Mus musculus: one gene and its partner. The protein of the gene in region 1 purifies or fractionates together with the protein of each later gene. This does not show direct contact. Links are inferred from orthologs where the notes say so. Each region holds a gene or a part of one and is shown on either strand. Other genes may lie near its edges.

Region 1 (3,645 bases):
CAGTGCATACCCAGCCTTCTTGTGAAACAGCTGTTCAGGGCTCAAGAAATAGCACTAGGCATAAGACAGTTTCTGCCTCTGCTGGATCATGAGCACTATTTTAAAGCCACACCTCACCAGAATGTGTGCTCAGCATTAGCTGTCTTCAGTTTTTATCTCATATTTTTTGAGTCAGAGTTTCTCACTGAAGGTAGAACCCACAATTTAGTCAAACTGGTTGATGCACGCCCCAGGGATCCTCTTGTCCTTCCTCTCCCTCCTCAGTGTAGAGACTATGATGCGCACTAATACGCCTGCTTTGTTCTGTTTTTTTTTTCTTCTCCCATGAGTTTTGGGGTTCTGACCTCAGGTCCACTGTTTGTGCGGCAGGTACCTTATAAGTGGAGCTGTCTCCCAAACCAGACACTGAGCTCTAATCCTGCTGAGAAGCTCTGCTTCCGAGGGTGAATGCCACAGTCTGGAGCAGGAAGAAGGGGGCTCCAAAAGCGAGATGTGTGTCCCTAAATAGAGCACTGGTCCCGAGGAAAGATGTACAAAGTATCTGCTGATGGTATGCAAGAACAGTATAAAGCCAAATAGGTAATGCCCAGAAGAGCAAATAGAGATGAGAGGAAACTATTACTGAGAAAAACTTACATACAGAGGAGCCATCCTCTAATGACTATGTACTTTGTATTAAATGTTGTCTATGTAGCTAAATGACCCAGTATCACAACAGTCTTATGCAGGGTACTGTGGGTAGGGTGTGAGGAGAGGTGTAAGTTCCTGAACCCACCTATCCACCTAAGTGTGAATCAGTAAGTAGCATGTAAAATGAATGAGCATGTCTAAGAATACTTAGAAAGGTGATGGTATAAACGGGGCGAGATTGCTTATGGGAGACACAGGTGGAGGAGAAATGAGAACCAAGTCTCCTTTTAGTGCACGGCTCCTGTTCTATTTGCAGTGCTGTAGGCTCAGGGACTCCAGAGGGACGTCATCTACCACATAACTATCTCAGCAGCCCAATCCTCCACTTCAAACCAACCTTTCAGATCATGTGCGTGGGCCGGCGGGATGACTCAGCAGGCAGAGGTGCTGGCTGCCAAGTCTGATGACCTGAGTCTGAACTCCAGAAGGCACAGGATGGAAGGACAGGGCCCCTGAAAACTGTCCCCTGACTGCCAGAGATGTGCTTGTATATACAGACATAAACACAAATACACGGAACAAGATACTGTGTATTTATTACCTGATAAAAATCATGCTTGCATGTAAAGTTATATTCACCCAAAGGCTCTAGTTGTTCACTACTCTCTTAAAGTCTTTGTCACCTATTTTTCTGTTTGGCTGCTTCCCTTTTTGCCTCCTGGCTTTTCAATAAATCTGACAAGACTATAAGACAGGACTGTCAAGGGAGTGGGGGCTAATCAGGAGGTCTTACCTCGGATTAAAAGGCATCTGGAAAAGGAAAACTGGGAAGACAAAGTCCTCACTGAAGTAAAGGTCAGCCACCCTGGGAGGACGCCCTTCAGCTTGCAGAGCAACATGTATGTCAGAGGCCCGAAGACCAACGGGGTCTCTAAGGCCACTGTACACACAACTGAGCCAAAGGCGCTTCTGCCAGGGAGTCTGGTCCCTGCCATGTTGACAGTTTGGGAAATGCTACAACACAAAGCCTTCCTGACATTTCACTCGGAGGCCCCGGTCTAATGGCGCTTGCTGACTAGGGTTCATGTGGACAGCGGTGCTCTGTCTGTCTGTGTGTGGACTCACAGGGTGTTCCAGGTAAATCCAAAGGCAGCCCACCCATGGAGAACTGCAGGGAGCCTCAACCCTCCCCTGGTCACTCAGACACTCTTACCATGAGCTGATTCAGCATCCGCTCTAAGAAAGGCTTCACTACACGTAAGACTGGAAAGGCGTGTTTCTGTAACTTCAGTGGGACTGAACCTAGTAGATAAGCTCTGCTTGCCATGCTTATCAGTCTCCAAGTCTTCACACAGTAGCAAATGGACTTGGACTGTAGCTTAGCCGGGGTTTCTATTGCTGTGATGAACATCATGACCAAAAAGCAAGCTGGGGAGGAGAGGGTTTATTTGGCTTCTGCTTTCACATCACTGTTTGTCACTGATGGAAGTCAGGACAGGAACTCAAACAGGGCAGGAACCTGGAGGCAGGAGCTGATGCAGAGGCCACGGATGGGTACTGCTCACTGGCTTGCTCAGCCTGCTTTCTTATAGAACCAGTCCAGGGATGGCAGCATCCTCAATGGGCAGAGGGGAGCTTACATTTCAATCACTAACTGAGAAAATACTTCACTGCTGGATCTTATGGAGGCATCTCCTCAATTGAGGGCCCGTCCTGTCAGATGACTGCAGCTTGTGCTGGCATAGAACTATCCAGGACAGTAATGTGACATGTGTAGGTTCATACAGAATGGGACATTCTCTTACGGTGTGAATTCTTGTAAGGGATACCGACATTTTCCTAACATGTCAAATTCTGTTCGTCTAGATAATCAGGCAAGTGAATGAGGGTAATCAAATCTGTTAAAGAAGGGATATTTAATTCTGAGGTACCTTCTAGCGCCGAGATTCTATGACCCAACAGAACACAGAATAGTTCAAGCACGTGCCTTTCCTAAGAAGAATCACTATTCTTGTCCCATGCACTTCGAAGGGTATGGTGCTGCGATGTATAATTCTGGGCACAGAGGAAATGAAATGAGTGAATGACTGGATAACCACACCCACCGTCATGGCCTCAATCGTGAATGTTAACAGGGGAATCTGAGAAACAGCTTGCAACACTTGGAGTTCCACTCACCCTTTTGTCCATGGCGACTGCTGAATTTGTCTCCAATCTCTGGGCGCCGCGTCTGTCTCAGGAGCATCTTGATGAGGAAAGCATCCTCGGCGTTGGAAGAGATCATCACTTTCTCGATGTAGGAGTCTGTCGCACCTTTGTACCTGATGTGAAGACAAGACAGCCTCTAACTGTCCTGTGTCACGCTGTCACTGTATGGCATACGCTCTTCAATCCTACCACAAAACACTCTGATATTCTCCTCTCATGCTTTAAAAAGTTACTCATTTCCAACATTAAATCTAAATTTTACAATTTTCCTTCTACAGTCTTATACATTTATTACGAGGCAGACATAGTGTAATATTTTTATGGTTATCACTGTATTATAGACAACATTAACCGATGCTCTGAGAGACCACACAGTCACACAGAGCAGAGCTGAGTTTTGAGAGCTGATCAGATTCAGGTTGGAGCGCGTAACCACTTTTGCAACAGCCCTTCAACCTACTACATTATTGCTGTCCTCAAAACACCTTGCTTCGTAGTTTTTATACAACAGACACCATGAGGAGTCTCCCAAGAGTTGGACGGTTTGGCTCAGGTCTTACATGGAGTCAGCCACAGGCAGATGTCCTTCTGGGCACATCAGTAAAGAGCCAGAGAGTGAGGGTTAGGCTTCTCCGAGTAGGGAAGCATATCCAGGAAAGGGGCAGGCATTACTAGCCAGTACAAGGACAAGGCCACACAAGAGGGGAGACTGTGGGAAACTAGACTGGAGGGGATGGGGTATGGTAACGCAGTGCTAATAGTAAAATCAAGGGGAGGGTCTGTCTGCGGTGTCATGAGAGGTACCAC
Region 2 (4,142 bases), on another chromosome or scaffold:
GGACCGGGAAGTCGCCTAGCTCGTGGCTCTGCACGTGGCTCCATGGGGGATGGCAAAAGCTGCCAGGGAGGCTGTCCAGGGTGACATCGGGGGCACAACCACCAAGCTGGCCAGTGGCTCCGACCAGCCACACTCAAGACCCAGGAGACCCCTCCCGACCTCCCCTCCATCGTTTGTTTCCCAGAGGCACCTGGAAAATGTCTAGGACCCCCCAGAGCCTTCACTGTAACCAGATCTCAAACTTCCCAAGCTCTATCGAACTTCTCCAGCTTCTCACTGCAAGCTGCCTCGTTTTCCTAAGGGTAGCTCCCAACACACAAGAAGGCGGCCAAGGTGATACACTCCCCAGAAACCAGCTCCTTGCCCATTCCCTTAAGTCCTTAAGTCACGTCCAGGTGAGGCAGACCTGTGGCCACTAGCAGTCTCGCACGCAATCTCCGCGTCTGAGCCAAATATCCCGGGAAAAAGAGGTTAGAAGGTCTGTTCATAGGGTGCCTCCTCCATGACGCCTTCCCGGACCACCGCCCTGCTCCTCTCCCCAGGAAAAGACCCTTCTCAGAGGAGAGGACTGTACTGAGCGCGGGAGGCCGCCGTCGGGGCTCGGGACACCGTACCGCCGACGGTTCTGCAGCGGCCGAAGAGAAGGACGCCCCAAACTCCAAGGCCCGGACTCTGCCTGGGCACCTCGGGTAAGGGCTCCAGACCGAGACCCCTTGGAGTCCGGGCCAGGAGGCGGGAAGACCGCCTTGGCCGTGGACAGTCGGCAGCCCGCTCTCCGGCTGCGCCACCACCACTTGTTAACCACCTCTTGGCTCCAGTCGGCTTGCGATCCGGCCAGCGGGACCCCAGCCCGCTAGAACCGCCGTACCTGTGCGCGCCGCCGCACGGCGGAGCAGCTGTCAGTCAAGGCAACACGAGAAACGCGAACCGCCGGCCGCGGACCTTTCGGCCTTGCTCGGACGCCGTAGCGCCGGGATCTACCACCACAGCGGGAGGGGGGGGACCGGGATGCTGCCGCGGGCTCGGAGGCTCTCGGAGCCCCGGGTGGGCACGAGCAAGGAACACCGCCGCTTCAGGGTAATCATGGGAGCCGGGGCAGGGCTGCGGCGGGATTCAGGGAGATGCGGGGCGGGGCTCTGGATCTTACGGGGCGGAGCTAGGGCGTAATGAGCCCCGCGCTATGGGCGCGCCTGGGGCGGGCCTTGAAAAGCTACTGCCGGCAGCCTGCACGCCAGACGCCGCCATGATCATCCCGGTGCGCTGCTTCACCTGCGGGAAGATCGTCGGCAACAAATGGGAAGCCTACCTGGGTCTGCTGCAGGCCGAGTACACGGAGGGGTGAGACGGCGGGCCGCGGGGGATGGGACAGGACGGGAAGGCTGGACTGGGGGCATGAAGTCGAGGGGCAATGGGGAGGGTTCTGCGGCGGACCGGGAGTGAAATTGAGGTGTCCTGGGCCGGGGGTAGATAAGATTTCCTATGGAGAATTGGCAGGGCAGGGGTTGTGGGGTCTAGTGAGAAGACTGGATGTCCTCCAGCCCAGACCTGTGATGTATTCCCAGAAGAGTGAGTCTTTAGTTTGTTTTCGAGGCAGGATTTCGGTGGCTGACCTGAATTCTCTATGTAAAGCAGTCTGGTCTGAAACACTTCGAAATCCTGCCTGTCTCCTGGATGTTGGGATTAAAGGCGTGCAATATCACGCCCAGGCTCTCAGAAGTTTGGAAGGTGGTTTTCTTCAAGTTGCTGGCCTTTGGGAAACTTCTAAGCATCCTTCCCGTGGGTGACACCTCAAGTCTCTTCCCTGTCGACCTACTCTCTATCCTCTATCTGCTTTCCGACCTACCCCTTATGTACTTCGAACCTCGTGGGCCCTTTAAAATGCAGGACAGGCTTTGTGGGCATCGTCTTGTGCTCACTACTATGACTGTCCCCCAAAATAGACCTCTGGCCACCATGTCAACACCAAGGGGTTCTCTTTCTCTGCACAAGCCATAAGTCAGTGGGGCTTAATGAGCAGCTATTAGATCAGCTCTGATGAGTAGCTGCTAGCCTTCTGGGACCCTCTTTCACTTGGGCAGGAACCTCTCAAGCTGTCTAGGTCCCAGAGAAATTAAATCTAGTGTGAGTTCAAAGCCTGTGGGGTAGCAACAACCAGTTCATGGCGTTTAGTCAGAGTCCACCTGTGGGGCCTGGAATTGTACTCCTTGATGAGGGGATATTGGTCTCCTAAGCTTTCCCAAATAACCCTGGAAGCCCATAACCCTGGGTACAAGAGACAAACGCAGAGATACAGGGGGTTAGAGAGATGGCCCAACTGTTTTTTTTGTTGTTGTTTTGTTTTTCAAGACAGGGTTTCTCTGTGTAGCCCTGGCTGTCCTGAAACTCACTTTGTAGCTCAGGCCGGCCTCGAACTCAGAAATTCACCTGCCTCTGCCTCTACCTCCCAAGTGCTTGGGATTAAAGGTGTGCACCACCACACCCAGCTAGATGGCTCAACTGTTAAGAGCACTGGCTGTTTTGTGTGTTTGGTTGTTTGATTGTTTTTTAAGAGGACTCAGGTTCCGTTCCTTGAAGCAACATGGTATCTCGCAAGTGTCCGTAACTCCTTTGGGCTTTGGGAGCATCAGGCACCCATACACATAAAACGAAATTTTAAAAAACAGGTGTAGGCAGAAGGCTGTTAAGGATGGATACAGGATGCTATGGGAGAAGACTGGCACATGAGCAGGTGTAACTTCTAGGTGGGGAAAGGGTCACCTGGCTCCTCCCTGAGCATCTAGATACATATTTCAGAAATCTCCAGGCCATTTCCCTATGGCCTGGTGTCAGGTTTCAATCGCTGATTATGTAGATGTGCTCTGGTAACCCCTATCCACACGAATACCCAGAGGCAAGCTGGAGGTGGTTCCAAACCTATCCAGACTCTAGAGACCACATCCAGCCTCACTCTTCTCTTTACAGGGATGCCCTGGACGCTCTGGGCCTAAAGCGCTACTGCTGCCGCCGCATGCTGCTAGCACACGTGGACCTGATTGAGAAGCTGCTGAACTATGCACCCCTAGAGAAGTGACCGCTGGAGCCTGCCCTCCTCTGTCTCCTGCTGGCCACGGGCAGCCTGTCGTGCTATGTTCAAACTGAGCTATTGGGGATGTTGGTGTATTGCCTGGCTGTGGCCCTGTGGCTAAGTCCTGTTACCCTGGAAGGAACTGTTTAGTAAAGATGTTTGCAGAACCACCAACAGGTCTAACTTCCAAGGTGCTCCATGTCCATGTCTGTGCTGTCTCTGAGGCTACCTGGCCTGCCTCCAGTCTTTCCCCTAGGGCTGGTCTCCTTCCCCTTCATCTGACTGGGAGTCTCGTCCTGTGGAGGAGTACCCTGCTTCCGTTCCCCGGGGCCTTGACCACTTTGATCAACGAGGTAGCCCTACAGTAGTCTTGTACCACATTGCTTTAGGGCCTCTCCGCTTCCTGCCTGTGTTCAGGATGGGCATAATGGATGTGGGCACCACACCATCCACAGGTATGGATGGGCCCAAGCCTGGTGACAATATTCCTTTGGAATGCTGAGCGTGCTTGGAGGTCCCAATCCTTGTGCTAGGGTTATTATGCATTTGGGTATTTGGTCTGCTTATAAGTCTTTGTATCACTGTGTCCCCACAGAGGCCAGATCCCCTGAGAGTAAAGTTATAGAATGTATAAGCTGCCATCAGGTATTGGGAATCAAACCCAGATTTATTTACCTTTCATTTTCCAAGACAGGGTTTCTCTGTTTGGCCTTGACTATCCTGGAATTCAACTCTGCAGACCAGGCTGGCCTTGAACTAAAGAGATCAGTCTCTGCCTCCCGAGTGTTGAGTTTAAAGGACGGCTTGTGCCACCCAACCAAACCCAGATACTGTAGGAGTACGCCCAAGGCCACAGGCCTCACGAATTTCTTGGGTCCTAAAGCCCATCAGCTGTGTGAGCCTATCTGCTGCCCATGCCTGAGGATCTTGTTTCCAGAATCTTCCCAGGCCCGACAGCTAGGCAGCCCTGCCCCTTGACCCAATCCCCACAGCATGTAGTCCTAAGAAGCCTACTCTAGGCCAAAGGAGGTGGTGTAGTGCTTTAGCTCCTAGGCATCTGCATCAAGTACCCCGGGTT

Evidence for each region. Proteins that work in one complex are often made in the same cells at the same time.
Region 2: the proteins of Polr3b (region 1) and Polr2l purify together in Homo sapiens (affinity purification with mass spectrometry; 5 studies listed by BioGRID and IntAct, with this or other methods). This does not show direct contact. The link is inferred for Mus musculus from reciprocal best matches to the Homo sapiens genes POLR3B and POLR2L.

The regions. Positions count from the first base shown.
Region 1 is NC_000076.6:84,698,705-84,702,349, reverse strand, and holds part of Polr3b (DNA-directed RNA polymerase III subunit RPC2), read right to left. Parts: intron 2,952-3,645; coding exon 2,809-2,951; intron 1-2,808. UniProt on the Homo sapiens protein: Catalytic core component of RNA polymerase III (Pol III), a DNA-dependent RNA polymerase which synthesizes small non-coding RNAs using the four ribonucleoside triphosphates as substrates.
Region 2 is NC_000073.6:141,472,224-141,476,365, reverse strand, and holds the start of Polr2l (DNA-directed RNA polymerases I, II, and III subunit RPABC5), read left to right. Parts: upstream 1-1,212; 5' UTR 1,213-1,243; coding exon 1,244-1,338; intron 1,339-2,961; coding exon 2,962-3,070; 3' UTR 3,071-4,142. UniProt on the Homo sapiens protein: DNA-dependent RNA polymerase catalyzes the transcription of DNA into RNA using the four ribonucleoside triphosphates as substrates.